2 linked regions of the Nothobranchius furzeri genome follow. The protein of the gene in region 2 purifies or fractionates together with the protein of the main gene of each other region. This does not show direct contact. Links are inferred from orthologs where the notes say so. Each region holds a gene or a part of one and is shown on either strand. Other genes may lie near its edges.

Region 1 (7,736 bases), on a different chromosome or scaffold from region 2:
AATCTCAACAGTTGAGACCCTTGGTGAATGTGAGAACTTGTGTTATTTTCTTTCTGACTGGGTGTGCTTCAAAGAGCAAGTCACCCCCTACAAGAAACTTACTTCACTCCCACTTCCTGTTTGAAAAATGCAACAAATGCTGTTGCCTAGCAGACTGAGAGGGCAGAGACAAACAGGAATGTAAAAGAGAAAACATACTGATCTGAAATCTCCATCGACGTCGGAGTCCTCACAGATGTCCTCATGAGGCACGTTTCTCCTCTTCAGAAGGTGTTCATCCCTCTTGTTCTGTGGTGCACAGAAATCACCGTGCACATATTAAAATCGTATGCAGATAAAACGCCTACAAAAATCTCAACAAGATTATATACCTTTCTGAGTTCCACCACTACTTCAGTCCTCTGTCTTCTCATGGTCTGCAGGAACACGACATAAAACGTGTTAAAACATGAATTTAAGCTAAAGCAACATTTTATATGCGTGTAAACATCATTTTCCCATTCAGAGGTCACCAATTGACCAACTCAAATCCTCATCCAGTTTCTTAACCGAACCGACCAATAATTTATAAATTTTAAAGGGTAAATATTTACCTTCAGTGGGGAAAATAATATTCCAAAACAGTAATGATCAAGTCACCTAAAAGCTTAATCATCTGAAAATGAGTCAAAAGTTGCTGTGACTGAAGATTTTGACATTTATTCACTAAATTAACTAAAAGGTGTACAAAGTCTTCAATTCGCAGATTTAGCTTTATTAATTGTTTTCGGTTTAGCTGTGTGTTCGTAAAGCGCGACACAATCACGAGGCACGATTAGTGCTGCCACGATTAGTCGATTCATCACGACGACGCTGACAAACAAGATAGTCAACTAGAAATTTAATAGTCGACATCATTTATTGTATGAGCATTTATTAAATCACGCTTTCTGTGGCACCTTCAGTGGCTGCTTTCTGCTCGAGGCACAAGCGCAGTCGTGGCCGTCCAGATCAGCCTTTGAATCAAGAATAACCGGCGAAAGATGACATCATGGCGAGTCCACAGCATAGCTCAGAAGGTGCAGAGCGTTTTACAACGACAAATAAACGAGAAGCATGCACAGTGCAAAATCTGCAAAGTGAAACTCTACATTCATGGGCGCACATCTGCGATGGACGAGCACGTCATGGCAGAGCGCAAAGAGTCGCCTCTGTAAGCTAATAACCTCTTGTTAGCTGCTAACATCAACAGAGAGTTACTTGTATGTATTTACTTGTAGGTGTAGCAACAACAGTAGTGGTGGTGACTTTACCTTTAGTACACGTTTGTATGCCACATTTTCCCTCTAATGTTACAAACGCTAATGATTTATTTTATCCTGCTACGTTAGTTATATAAAAGCACTCCTCCTCTTCAATGCACGAGTCTGGTACAAACCCAAAAATGACTTTTAGCTGGATACATTTGTGAGCACAAGTCATTTTTGTGTACACTTTATTTCTGGTTTAAGGTTACTACGTCCATTCGACTACAGCATTTGTATTAACAGGTTACAAAGTAGATTAAAGGTTGTTTGATAAGCTAAGCTATCATATTGTCTATAATATTAGAAGCTTGATAAAAAAGATCTTAAATTGGTCCAAAAATACATTTTGGATCCAACTTAAAACTGAAACAGAGAAAATTTGTATTAAACACTTTTAAGAATCACCACAATGTTTCCATGCTAATTATAAAAATGTGCTAATTTAAAATAAATTATTACATGCAGCATTGTACCAAACTTGGACCGCTATGATGTAGCTTCTCCACACAAATGTGGAGTAGGAAGTGGGATACAATCCACATTTTCTTGTTTTCTTGTCTAATGACAAACAATCACCTATGCCATTAAATATGACAGGTTGAATTGGGGATGGACCAAAAAAAATGGAGCTGTAATTTACCTTTCACTATACTAAAGCTGATTTGAAGTCAAGCACATCAGTGGGCAGCCCGATTCCACTACACAATTTTATGTTTACCCTCCTTAAAGAGCAAGTCACCCCCTACCAGATTCTTACTCAACTCCCACTTCCTGTTTGAAAAATGCAACAAATGCTGTTGCCTAGCAGACCGAGAGGGTTGAGCCGCTAACAAATACACACACTCACGGCATTGTGACATTATAATGTACCATCTAACATCATAGTGTACCTCTTAGCCAATAGCGACGGCAGATTTAAATTCAAATGCAGTGCTGAGTTTTTACCTGACGACGGTGCAACACTGACAGTTTTAGGCAGAATATTTAAATTTTAACTAAGATGCACTAAAGTGCCGAATTATTGACTACACGTGTCTGCAGCACGATTAGGCACTCATTTATATAGTTTATCAGGAGAAAAAAATGTTGATTTGGAGTGACTTGCTCTTTAATAGCATCTGATTAATAAATTCTCGAAAACATTGTCAACTGACATTTATTCTTATTTACCTGGTTTGCATATTTAATACTTAGTCAGGTTTTTGTTTTCTTTTTGATAAACGTTGGTTAAAAGATTGATTTTAATACCACGCAGAGCGTAAAATTATGATTCATGATGTCAAATTCTGTGTCAACTGATTAGGTTCATGAATGTTGTGCATCCCGTTATTAGTGACATTTTAGCAAAGAGTTATGGTGGAAAAAGTCTAGATATCGGCCATTGGCTGACCATGACCCCTACCAGTGGGCATTGGTATCTGCAATAGAAAAAACCCATATCAGTCGATCTGTAGCTTGAATTAACTTGAATGGTGTCAGATGTTATCGTGCAGAGTTGATGATGATTGCATCAAGACTATTTTATTTCAGGATCTCGAAGATTCAGTGGTTTATGTTGCCTAAATGCCACTTTTTAATCTTCCTGGTTATTTGCAAACGAATCTAAACACTTGATGCAATGTGAGTGAGCAACGTATTTAGTCACGTGATCAAACGATTAAATACACGTTATTTCAGTATGGTAATGAAATAAGTCTGAAGTTTCTGCTCACTGAGGAGTCTGGGTGTGTCCACCTCCTCCGAACCTCTTCCATACTTGTAGCTAAAGTTATTGACAAATCGATGAGCGATACGACTCTTGAGGCCTGCTTCTTCAGAGAAAGTAACGACTTGTCAAGCAGGATGTACGGGCACATCCCGCCTATAAACACCCGTAAGGTAAAATCCCGCCCGAGACCTTATTTCGCTACCATACGCTCACATGAGACAATGAGACACGCCGGGCTGACAGTAACTCACCTAGTATTGATCTGACGTTTGCTAACGTGTAGCTTGATCTACCATGTCACGAGGTCGACCAGGTGTTTATAGATTTCTAAATATTCGTTGGTGATAAACAAAACAATGGAACACACACGCATGACGTTAAGATCCAGGTAACTGGTCAGCTAAACGGCTAACTGGTTTCCGCCATTGTTTTTGGTTGTAGAGACGGGGGATGGGTGGAAATGCAACCAGCGCGAGCTCAGCTAGCACGCAAGTTAGCTTACTGCGGTATTAAACTACATTAATCCGCCGCTAGGCTGGCGTGTTTATCGATATTATATCTCAAAAGGAGACAACCTGGGTCAATTAGGTGTACTTTTACTGATATATGTGACATATTACACCGAACTAAACCGACTCGGGGGTGAAATGCTTCAGTTGAGCTCGCATGTCCCCCCGCGGCCCTGGCACATCCAGCGGAGGCTTTTCTGACATGTTTCTTAAGCAATGCGGTCTAACGGTGTAACAAAACGATAGAAACCGAACAAGAAGCCACTCTGCCAAAAGCCAACGGTGCTTAACGGTCGATTCGTGAAGGCCTTGGCCGGGCTCTGGCAGCAGAGATCCCGATGGTGGAAATTAGAAACGACGTCACAGCGCAGCCGAGAGGCAAGGCTGGCCGTGAACGCAGCAGCTAGCAGCGGCGAGCCTAAACACCTTATCCGCACAACTTTTACCTCCAAATCTCGACCCTTGTTCTTGAAATTCTTCAGCCGCTGGTTGTCCAGTTTCTCGTTGTCAGCCATGTTTGCTGTTCTGGTCACGTTAAATACACAGTTCGACTCGTGAATTTAGCGGGCGAGCTACCCTCTTTTTTTCTTGTTCCCGTTTCACGGCGTTTCGTTAGCGGACTACTTTTCGCTGCTCTGTCCGCGGTGCATACTGGGAATGCCGGTGGTGGAGGGGGGGGCGCCTCGCTGTGTCGTAGAGGAAGGGTGGGGAAATCCCCTCCACTCCGCTCTCATTGGTTTCACTGCCAACGTCCGTGGCGGTGGGAGCACCGCATCACATGTAGGCAAAACGCATGAAGTTTACTGGAAGAAAAAGGTCACATCTGGTCAATTATCACTGCACCATAATATAGATTTGTTATGGAAACAAAATACTTTAGTGTTTTACACTAGCGGAGTAATATAGCAGGTTTGACTTTACAGAAGGTGTTATTTGTCTTCCATGCAAATGAAAAACGTCATAAGACAGAGAACCCTCCCTCTCCTTATTTTACCCTTTGTGTTGCTCAAATTCAACAATAACATGATGTGATCAATAATAAAAAGACAAAATAACAAACAGGAAATGCGGAAAAATGTTTAATTAAGTTTTATTAAACAATTATGAGTGAAATTTCCTCTGTATATAAATGATATCTGTCAATATATAAGAGTGCAATGGTATTTAGAAATTTGATTTACTTCAGAATTCATTTGCATTTAAAGATGTGGGGCACACGCTTCATCAATACATTTGCTGTGGCTTCATTCTAGTAATTAATTAGTGAATGAAAGTCGTACTTGGTTATTAAAAAGCACAGACCCAGTTTCAGGAAGTAAAACATTTCCTGATATTTGGACATCTCGCCTCTGATTGGCTAACAGCAACACGACTCTACCACCAACTTCATTTGCTTTGCAACCATGATGTTTTTTTCCACATATAACACAAGCGTGGAGGTGCTCTGCTGTGTGGTGGAGTTGCTAATGCTAATGTTAGCTTCTGCTAGTCGGGACGTTCTCTGCTGTTTCCTGGACGTTAAACCAACAACAGCCTTCCCCATTGTGAGCCAAGATGGGTGAGTCCATGACTGTTAAGTGACAGTGTGACGTAGATCTGTCAGGCTTTTCTAATCCCACAGTTAGACCGTCTGTTTTCTATCAGAAGCTAATGCATCATTATCATTTTTGCAGGTTTAAAAAAATCACAAACACACTGAATATGATCAAATACATGAACTTCCTTTATTGTAAGATGACATTTGCTCAAAATAAACTTGATTTTCAAATAATATAAAACACAAGAAAATGATTTATAGTGATAAAATATATCTAAACCTTATTTGCTAATTTATTCATATACATTTGTAGTTTCAGAGAACTGTCTCAAGGCCCCTCATGACGGCTTTCTCAAATCCACCCCAATAATCCCAGATTTTTCACAAACCCCTCACAGTTTTTTTCCTCCCGCCTCTTCACCCCGCAGCAGTTTCACCACACGGATTAACTCTAATCTCTGCGTTAGCATCATCCTTTGACCTCGCAGTTGGTTTCAGTTGGATGAAAGACGACAGGAATCAAACATCAAAAGTAATCGTCCTGTAATCAGCTGCCACAGAATCGCTTCACTGCTGCGAAACCGAAGCCTTTAGATCTCATCTGAACCTTAATGTCGTCCTGAGTCTGTCTGAAAGGGGTCTTCATCAGATAAACCGTCCTCATGAAACCTTCTTCCAGTCCCGTCCCAGTGTTGGCTGAGGAGGGCTGGACGAACCACGCCCGGCCCGCCACACCCACCCCTCAAGTCCAGTTTCACAGACAGTGATTGGGGGCTCAGAGCATCTGGTAGAGCCTGTTTGTTGGCCAGAACCACAAGAGGAACTCCTCTGAGACTGTCCTGCCTCAGGACCTGAGAGGTAGAGGAGATCCGTTTTTGTTACAGTTAAAAACTTTTCACATGAAACCTTCATTGTATAACAAAACAGTTTCTTTCGTAGCTACCCTGTGCAGTTCTTTGCGAGCCTCGTCCAGCCGTCTCTCGTTCTGGCTGTCCACCGCAAACATCAGGCCAGCTGTTTCATAGTAGTAATGCCTCCAGTGAGGCCTCATCTTCCTCTGACCACCAACATCCCACACCGTCAGCTCTGGGCTTTTCCCGTCGATCTCCAAGGACTCCACGGTGAAACCAGCGGTCGGTACGGTAACCACATTCTCGTTGTATTTCAGCTTGTAGAGCAGGGAAGTCTTTCCTGAGCCATCTAGGCCCAGCATGAGGACTTGCACTTGTTTCTGAGGCTGGGATGCATGGGTACCCGTGACTGAAATGTGAAAAGGGTCTCGTCGTCCTCTTCCTTTTGTGCGACTGTGTGAACGGTGTTGTCTTCCTGTATTTGGTCTTTTACGAGGACCCAGAGATCCCTCCCCTTCTTGTCCCTCCACTACTTTCGGTAGAGCTATTTATAACCAAAGTGACTGTGCAACTATGGAGGACAGACACGGTTACACCTGTCTCCAGCCGTCAGACAGGAAGCCAGGAGAAGATTGTGTTTCCTTCACAACGGTGACATCGGTTATATTTTGGCTGAATGGAGCGGCTGACGGATTAACGTGGTGTTATCTTTGACGTGTTTGTTCTGCAAAAGCCTCCAGGCAGAAATGATCTGCAGCATTTATGTCAGATTTCATCTTTACAGAAAGCATTGATCATGACGTGTAAGTGCCTCAGTTCTGAGTCTGTAGGTGATTTATTAATGTTTTGATGTCTGTTGGCTTCGTCAGAACGTGATCTCTAGCTTTCACCGGAGCGGTTCGCAGCAGTGTGAGGCAGCTGGGATGAGAATTACCTCCTCTAAATTCGGAAAAGGGTAGAATGCCTTCTCCAGGTCGGGGATGAGGTCCTGAAAGATGGAGTGTCTGCAGTGATGCGGACGTTGTACCAATCTGTCGCGGTGAAGAGAGAGCTGAGACAGAAGCAGAGCTCTCGATCTACTTTCCTACCCTCATCTATGGTCACTAGCTTTGGGTGGTGACCAAAAGAACGGTCATCTGGGAGGGGCCCAGAGTAGATCTGCTGCTCCTCCACATCGAGAGGAGCCAGTTGAGGTGGCTCGGGCACCTGATTAGGATGCCTCCTGGACGCCTCCCTGGTGAGGTTTTCCGGGCACGTCCAACTGGGAGGAGGCCTAAAGTTAGACCAGGACACTCTGGAGGGACTATAAACCATGATGACAAATGACCCGCACTTGTATAGCGCCTTTCAGAGTAAGGATTCTAAAGCGCTTTACACTACAGTGCATCATCATCCACTCACACACACATTCGCACACTGATGATGATGAGCTACGATGTAGCCACATCTGCCCTGGGGCGCACTGACAGAGGCGAGGCTGCCGAGCACTGGCGCCACCGGCCCCTCCGACCACCACCAGCAGGCAAGTTGGGTTAAGTGTCTTGCCCAAGGACACAACAGCAGAATTCTCTGTCCGGAGCCAGGATCGAACCTGCAACCTTCCGATTACTGGACAACCCGCTCAACCTGGCCAGGGAACACCTTGGGATTCCCCCGGAGGAGCTGGCCATGTGACTGGGGAGAGGGAAGTCTGCTTAGGCTGCTGCCTCCAAGACCTGACTCCGGAGAAGTGGACGATAATGGTTAGATGGATTAAACATTACGTTATGTTTGCAGCTAAATTAATCTTATTCTTTGGTCTTAGGTTCCCAATGTCATCCAATCATCTGGCTTTGAAGCCAAAAG
Region 2 (7,605 bases):
ATAGTTCTTTTAGCCCATTGATCCATGAGCTGAGCAAAAAGGGAGGAGCTCCAAATCAGTCGAGGTTTTACGGTGAAATTAAAGATCTGCACATATTAATCCAAACACAATTTATGGAACATTGACAAATTATTATTTTAATACAAAGTAAAGATAATAAGGAGGTTTTTATTACCTCATTCATTTTCTTTAGGCTCTCTATTAGAGTTTATTTTTAATATTTCTCTGTTAAATTCTTACTTATTGCACCTTTCTAGGGCCCACATTTATGGAAATTGGCTCCTTGCACCTTACCTTTTTATTCTGCTACTTCTACTTAGACCTTTTTGTTATTATTTACAGACACTTGATATTGACTTAAAAAATTGTCTTTCCTTTTTTTTAGGATATTTGACAAAATTTTTATTTAGTTTTAATTTTCGTAATTTTGTTTCTGTTAATTACAGTTGACTAATCTGTAATAGCTACATGCTTTTTTTTTAAATCACACCAAATACATGTTTGGGTCCCAGGAGCTTAAAGAAAACTGAGCACAGCTGCATTCAAGTTGGGGTTAGGGTTAGTTGATCACTAAGGAAGAACTTAGTCCTTTTCTGTTATTTAGATTCAGATTATGATTTGCCTTCTTATATGTACACCTTAACATGAAAACTGAGGTTCTAGATTTTAAACCCAACTTCTTTTTAATTAGTTATCATGACCCAGTTAACAGTGTTAAAAGTTAAAAGCTTTATTGCCATCATACAAAAAACATACAAAACGTGAACATTAGAAAATGAAAGTCTTGCGAGAGCCCTGAGAAGCTCTTGATTGCTTCTGGGACTGAATACTTCAGTATCTCCTCTGTCTCGGGGAGAAGATGGTGTCTGGGTTGCTGTCTCGCTCCCTCTCCTTCTCCCGCTCCTTCTGGCTGTTTGGGGAAAGGGCCTCCTCCACCTTCTTCTCGGTCTTGAATAGATCTCTGCCCGTGCGCCTGATTTGCTCCTCAATTTTGCGGTGGCGCTTCATGTCCGACAGCACTTTGTCCAGACGAGCTTCTCTCTTCACAGAGGAGCGAGCTGACGAGCCTGGAATGCAGGGAGGAAACAGTTTGGCTTTCCTCGCTGAACCCAGGAAATCAGGATATAAAAAAATAAATCATCAAACCTGGTGTTCTGCGTCTGTTTATGAAGGAGTTTTTAGGAGTTGAATGAAGTTGCTCCTCATCAAAGTCAAACTCTGTTGGAGACGGAGGCCTGGGGGTGGGGGGGTGGGGGGGGAGTGGTAAATCAAATTTATCCAAATAACAGAAGATAAGAAAAAGAAAGGAGAGCTACTGACTTGCATTCCCTTTCCAGCCTCTCCCTTTCCTTTGCTGCCTCCTCCTCTTCGTCTCTCTCGGGTGAAGGGGTGCGTTCAGGTGTGGGAGGCCTTCTAGGAAGGGGCACAAAGTTCAATTCCAGCATCTCCCCTTTAGCGAGGATATCATAAAGTCTTTTGATCTCAGGAGGAGCAGGCATCCAGTTTTTGGGGTCCTCCATTTCCTCGTCGCTGTAGGGAAGCTCCCACTCGTCGTCTGCTCCGGCAGCCAGCTTCCCCTCTTCAGCATCCCCTCCTGCTTCCCCCTGAGGTTCATTCTCTTGTGTCCCTCCTTCCACCACCTCTGTGTTCTCATCTGAGAAGACAGAAAAGTACACAAATGTATTTTTTGACACAATGTAATAAGAAGTTATTTATGTTTGTCTTATTTTATGTTGCAAGCACTCTCATTTTGTTCTTCTTTACTAATGAAGTACACTTCTGCATCTTCCAAAGCCTGTGTAATATGTTGGTATTTAAAAAAGACACTTTGATGCCCACTTACTTCCTGCTTGGATATCTGGACATGTTTTATTCATGAGACTGACTCAGAAGAAATTAGTTTATTTAGCTGGTGTCTGTGTTTTAACAACTAAATGTTACAAAACACGAGTTTAATTATTTTCCTATTCATGGTGTCCTAGATTAATTCTACTGTGGTAAATTCAGATACTTAAACCCTCATAAGTTTTATTGGTCACTCCTTCACCTGCTGGTGTAATCCTGTATCTGCACTTGTCTTAAAATGTGAACTCTAGCTATTTTAAGCATCACATGATTGCTCTGCTATTACGAGTTATGGTTTTGAGTATTTATTTCAAAAGTTCGTTCGTTCAAAACATAGAAGTAAGGAGAATTTGAGTAAAGTGAACACAGATCATTTTACAAGGTCTGGTGTGTCAAGTGTGTTTGTGGCATCATTTGACTTTTTTTGGTGTATTTTTTTTATAACTGCAAATGATAAATACAAGTGTGTCCTAACTGAAGAAGTAATCTAGTTAAATACTTGGGAATTAAATATTGACCAAAAACACAATATTTCTGATTATTATTCACAATTGAGCAGCCCTATTCTTTATGTGGCTTGTTATTTACTGATACAGCCTTTGAGTGATTGCTTTTGGCCACATCTGGTGCTAATCAGACGGATTTCTGACTCCAAGAGTTTACAAAGTTATTTATCCTTTAAGGGAGTTACCTGTGTCATCCTTTGCAGTGGTGTCTTTCTCCTCTGTGACAGCTGTCATCTCTGAGTCCTGTTGCTTCTCTAGGCCGCCTTCCTCCTGGTCTGCAGCAGATTTCTCTGGATCATTCACACCTAGAGCCTCAACACCCTCTCTAAGAGAAGAGTTGGTGACTTCAGTCTGCATCCTACCTGCTGCTGGACAACTTTAATAGGATCTGCGAAACAGCAGCATGTTTGATAATAATTAGCAATGGGAGATAATGGCAGTTATTATTTACACGGGTAACGAGTCAAGTTACGCCTGTTACTAAAGCGTAATAAGCAATTTGAGAATATTTAGGTTTATTTGTTTTATTCCTACTGGGCTAGCTAACGTCAAACCGCACCGCAGAAATAAAGGAAATCCTTCATTGTTATTACCGATTTGTCGTGAGTCAGCGTTGGTCACGTTAAAATTTGATTTTAAAGTAATTCCCAAGTGATGGGATCATCATAGCTCTCCATGAGGCTAGCTAAGTGCATTAAAAGATTCAACATGGACATAAACATAGCGCCATTTTGGCTGAATAGGTTGCTTGACGATGTTGTCGCGTTTAACCGGGCTCCAAATCCCGCTGATTTAAATGCGTATGGCTAAGTCATTCCAGGGCTTCTACTGTCTAAAATGTGAAAGGAGATGAAGTGGAAATCTACGCTAAACGTAACTTCCTGTTAGCTGTGCCGTGGCTAAACGACTCGTATTGTTTGGAGGGGAAAAGTAAAACCTCTTTAATTTAACTTTTACTCAATATACTAGTTTTTAAAATATACTATTAAATACAACAAAACTACAATTATGTTTTATGAATTATTTAGCGCTTAATGAGATCGCTGAAAGGCGCCAGCGTTCACGCGAGCTCTGATTGGTTAAAACCCATTTCCGGTCTCAGTCTTTTCGTTTAAAATTTTTTCAGTTAGAAGTTTTGGCCCATCGCCATTGTTAAAAGGAGAAGCTGGGAATGTTTGGACGATAAAAACGCGTTTTTTGGAAGACGTTTTTAACGGTAAGCTTTCCCCAATAAACTTAAAAAAGCGGAGTGGCAGATTTCGAGGAAACATTAGTTTGGAAACAACATTACCTCCTTTCGTGTGTTTGCTTCTCGTGACGCAATGATGAAAACCTAGAGCTTACCTTCAAATACTCCATTTATGCTCTGTTCATGCATTTACTGGTGTGTATTATACTAAATATTCGCGTGGCATAGAGTTTGATAAAGTGGATGAACATCACTCTGGCTTTTTCGTTATCCAGGCCTTTGTTTGTGTGAAGATGGCGCAGCGTGTGTTGGTAGCAGATGGTGGAAACAAGAAGACCTCCCGGGTTCGGGTAGCGGTTCGTCTGCGGCCTTACATGAGCAAACAAGATGATAAACACGAGGGTCCGTGTGTCAGAGGCCTGGACTCCCAGAACCTGGAGATAGTCAACTGGAGGAATGCAACAGAAACTGTGAAATACCAGTCAGTATCACTCTCCCAAGTGTCCTCCTCTCCTCACGACATTTGACTCTAAACATGGTTTGGTTTTTGTTCCAGCTTCGATGTTTTCCACGGAGAGGACACAACACAGGAAGAGGTTTTCCTCTCATCAGTGAAGTCGATTCTACCAAATATACTGAAAGGACAAAACGCCAGCGTGTTTGCTTATGGGCCAACAGGAGCTGGTGTGTTCTGGTGCCATTGTCACTGGAATAAGTGTGTTTTTCTTCCTAACATTAACCTGCATGGCTTCATTCACAGGTAAGACTCACACCATGTTGGGAAGTCCAGAGCAGCCTGGCGTGATCCCTCTAGCTGTTGAGGAGGTCTTTAATCTGGTCCGAGCCACGGATCAGGATGAAGGATGGGACTACAGCGTAGGAATGTCATATTTGGAAATTTATAATGAAAAGGTTTGTTTGTCCCGGTTACATCATTACTGTATGCACAGTGGTCTCCAGTCTCCTCAGGTTGGGAATCACTGTACAGATGAAGCTCAAAATATTAGAATATGATGCAAAAGCAGATTAAAGGTGAAACTAATACATTAAAAAAAACTTAATTACATGCAAAGCCAGATATTTCAAGCCCTTGTTATAACTGATGATTATGGCTTACAGCTTAATGAAACCCCACATTCAAAATCTCAGACTATTAGAATATTGTGAAAAGGTTCAATATTCTAGACTCATGCGCAAATAACCTGTGAAAATAATTGAAGACATCATGCTAGATCAGCAGCCTGTGATGACACCTGGTTCTGCTCACTGTAGGAGCCGCTTTAGAATAAATAAATATAATAATATACCAAAAATGAATCAAACCAAGCTCTTCAAAACACCGAACTGAATACTATTTTATCGTTACCGCACCGTTACACCCCTAAAATCTTTAATTACACACATAAACCACCTGGTACACTCAGACAAAATGACATTACACACAGATCAGTTTACAAGTACAACAATCCTTTTGAGACTCTTTTCTCACCTGACTGATTTGTGTGTGTATGGTGCATTTGAATACTGGGTGGAAGCTGGGAAATCTGAATTTCCTTTGGATTTAGTTTAAACTTGTGTTGACGGGACAAATGTGTTTTTCTGTGGAAAAACAGAGTACCGTAAATCCTCTAATATTGGCCTGTATTCAGTTAACTGCCGGGTATCACATTTTGGCCGGTGTCTGAGTTGGCGGAGGTGAATAATGGTCGGTTTTTTATTGTGGCCAGGTGAAATGTGGTAACAAGCAAGTACCACGAGGGGGGGGGGGGGGGCGCGGTTGTGTCATCGTCTCACTTTTGATTTGCCAGTGATAGACTGCGAGGGTAACTTTAACGGTGCGGAGACGAAGAGGAGGCGAAAATTTGATATCAAGTTCAAAGAGAACGTGCTGATTATACTGCAGAACACTCTGGGGAGCAGTAGCAGGGGTTGTATGAACTAGTCACTAGTCGACTTCACTATAGTGACTTTTTATGCCTGTCATCGACTAGTCGCTGTCACGTGATAATGACCGGCAAGATGTAGTCCACGGAAAAGACAGCAGCCTGCTGTCAGCAGGTGACAAGCTCCTGCGTGTCGGGAGGCGACGCACTGTGCCAGAGCGTCGGTACTGACACCCGCCGTAAAACGGACATTTAACCAAATTGTGACCTTTACCCTCTTGCAATTTAACATTCCCCTCACCCCCATCCTACCCTTAACTAGCTTGCGCATGCAAAGCTCTGATTGTTGACGTGCTCCAGACATCTGCGTCCTGAGTAACGTTATCAAATCAGGTGTCGCCACCTCAAAAACAAATTGAACACGCGATCGTTCATGTCGGCTCATTTCCTTTTATGTTTTCTGTCTTTTACTTTATTTGTGCCTGATGCTTTTCGCTGCTGTGGAGCAAGGCGCGTCACCTGTTTTGTCCTCCCAGGATTTCAGCCGTGGCGGCCCGCCACGGCTGAAATCCCACCGCCACGCCTACAAGATCCCAAGTTTTATTTATTTATTTTTGGCGCTGTTTCCCGAAGAAGCAGCGGGAACTACTATGTTGCCGCTTGTGATCACAGCCGGCGGGCAGCAAGGAGGATCAGGCAGGGCAAGGTGAAGTTACAGCAATAGTTACTGAGTTTAAAATTAGAAAGGTAGCAGTGGATATAATGCTTGTTGGTTTACATGTTTCAATAGCATTAAGATAAACGAGTGTTGACGATCTTGACAGGGTTTCCTCCAGTGCTTATTAGGCCAGGTTTTCCTCCCCCCACCAGGCTAAGCATCACTTACTCATGTAAAATTTATTTTTTCATGACTGACTTTAACCGCATCTAGTACTGTATTACGGCGTGAGCGCAACAGCGACAACTTAAGATCGATGTGTGAGCAGCCTGAGAGGTTGGGTGTTTTCATCTGAACCCTTAAAACCTCCAGCAGGCTACGCTGCACTGTTGACATGTTAGCGCGCGGCGTTAACAACTTAGTGACGTGACATGTCTCGGAGAAAGCGTAAAAACACGTTGGACACTTCTTCTTAAGCAGAACACGACGTCGCCTCGGCTCGTTCACGGCCGAGCCGGACTGAGCTCAATAACATGACCAGCACAGCCACTGGGTCGTTGGAGCTGCCCCGTGACTGCCTGATGGAAAATCAGCGGGTTTCATCAGACTTGTAAAGTTTCTTGTTTTTGCTGGGGACCCCCTGTATTTTACAGCTCCCTCCTGCAGTCTTCCCCTATTAACATTTAAAATGATTCTGTAAATTCCGTGTATCAATAGAATAAATCTCTGCCAGCTGCAGTAAATGTAGTCTCCAAATAATAAATAAGAGGTGCATTCATCTGTGTATCTCCTTTGATCCGCATTAGTGATATTCTCAGCACCAGAACAGTGAAGCAAAGAAACAGATTCCTGGGTTTGTTAGTAATTTTATTTATTAGGTGCATCTGACCTGTTCTATTTTTCTCTGAAATGAGATCAAATCAGTGCTTCCATGGATTGTCTCCTCTCTGCACTAGAAAATGTAACTTTATTTAGAGACGTGTCATAATTTAACGTGCTGCAAAACTACCCGGAAGTTCTGACGGGGGAAACAAGCCCGTCTCCACTGATAACGGCCGCTCCTCCGAGGGTAGGTAGGAGGGGGATTCAAATGCAATTTCAGCTAGTTAAGCAACAACTCTGCATGTTCCTATAGAACTGACCAAGCTCTTCAGATGAGAGATGTCCTCAAGAAACAAACGCATTCAGTTGCCTTCATTCAAACCTACATGGAATACCATGACACTGTTGAGCCAAAAGCACCGTTTCAACTGGGTGTCCTGCTGACTGGGAGCTGTAGACACCAGTTACACCTGCAGACTAAAACATCTAAAGAGGTCGTGTTTTGGGCGATCTTCACAACTTTCCTCTCTCGTTTTCTCAGGTTCTCGATCTTCTATCTCAGAACTCGCAGGATTTGCCCATCAGAGAAGACAAAGACAAGAACATTTTAATACCAGGTCTCACCCACACAGTCATCTCCTCCTCCTGTGATTTCGATAAGTACTTTGTTCCTGCTACCCTCAAACGCACCACAGCGTCTAC

Evidence for each region. The genes of interacting proteins can lie anywhere in the genome.
Region 1: the proteins of kif22 (region 2) and kpna4 purify together in Homo sapiens (affinity purification with mass spectrometry; 3 studies listed by BioGRID and IntAct, counting the BioPlex papers as one, with this or other methods). This does not show direct contact. The link is inferred for Nothobranchius furzeri from reciprocal best matches to the Homo sapiens genes KIF22 and KPNA4.

Annotation. Positions count from the first base shown.
Region 1 is NC_091753.1:52,637,885-52,645,620, forward strand, and holds the start of kpna4 (importin subunit alpha-3), read right to left. Parts: upstream 4,159-7,736; 5' UTR 4,019-4,158; coding exon 3,950-4,018; intron 417-3,949; coding exon 372-416; intron 289-371; coding exon 199-288; intron 1-198. UniProt on the Homo sapiens protein: Functions in nuclear protein import as an adapter protein for nuclear receptor KPNB1. Binds specifically and directly to substrates containing either a simple or bipartite NLS motif.
Region 2 is NC_091756.1:34,661,450-34,669,054, forward strand, and holds the start of kif22 (kinesin-like protein KIF22), read left to right. Parts: upstream 1-3,442; 5' UTR 3,443-3,567; intron 3,568-3,815; 5' UTR 3,816-3,833; coding exon 3,834-4,021; intron 4,022-4,096; coding exon 4,097-4,224; intron 4,225-4,300; coding exon 4,301-4,452; intron 4,453-7,444; coding exon 7,445-7,605. Other genes in the region: pagr1 (PAXIP1-associated glutamate-rich protein 1), read right to left, coding at 832-1,067, 1,147-1,235, 1,321-1,654, 2,537-2,708. UniProt on the Homo sapiens protein: Kinesin family member that is involved in spindle formation and the movements of chromosomes during mitosis and meiosis. Binds to microtubules and to DNA. Plays a role in congression of laterally attached chromosomes in NDC80-depleted cells.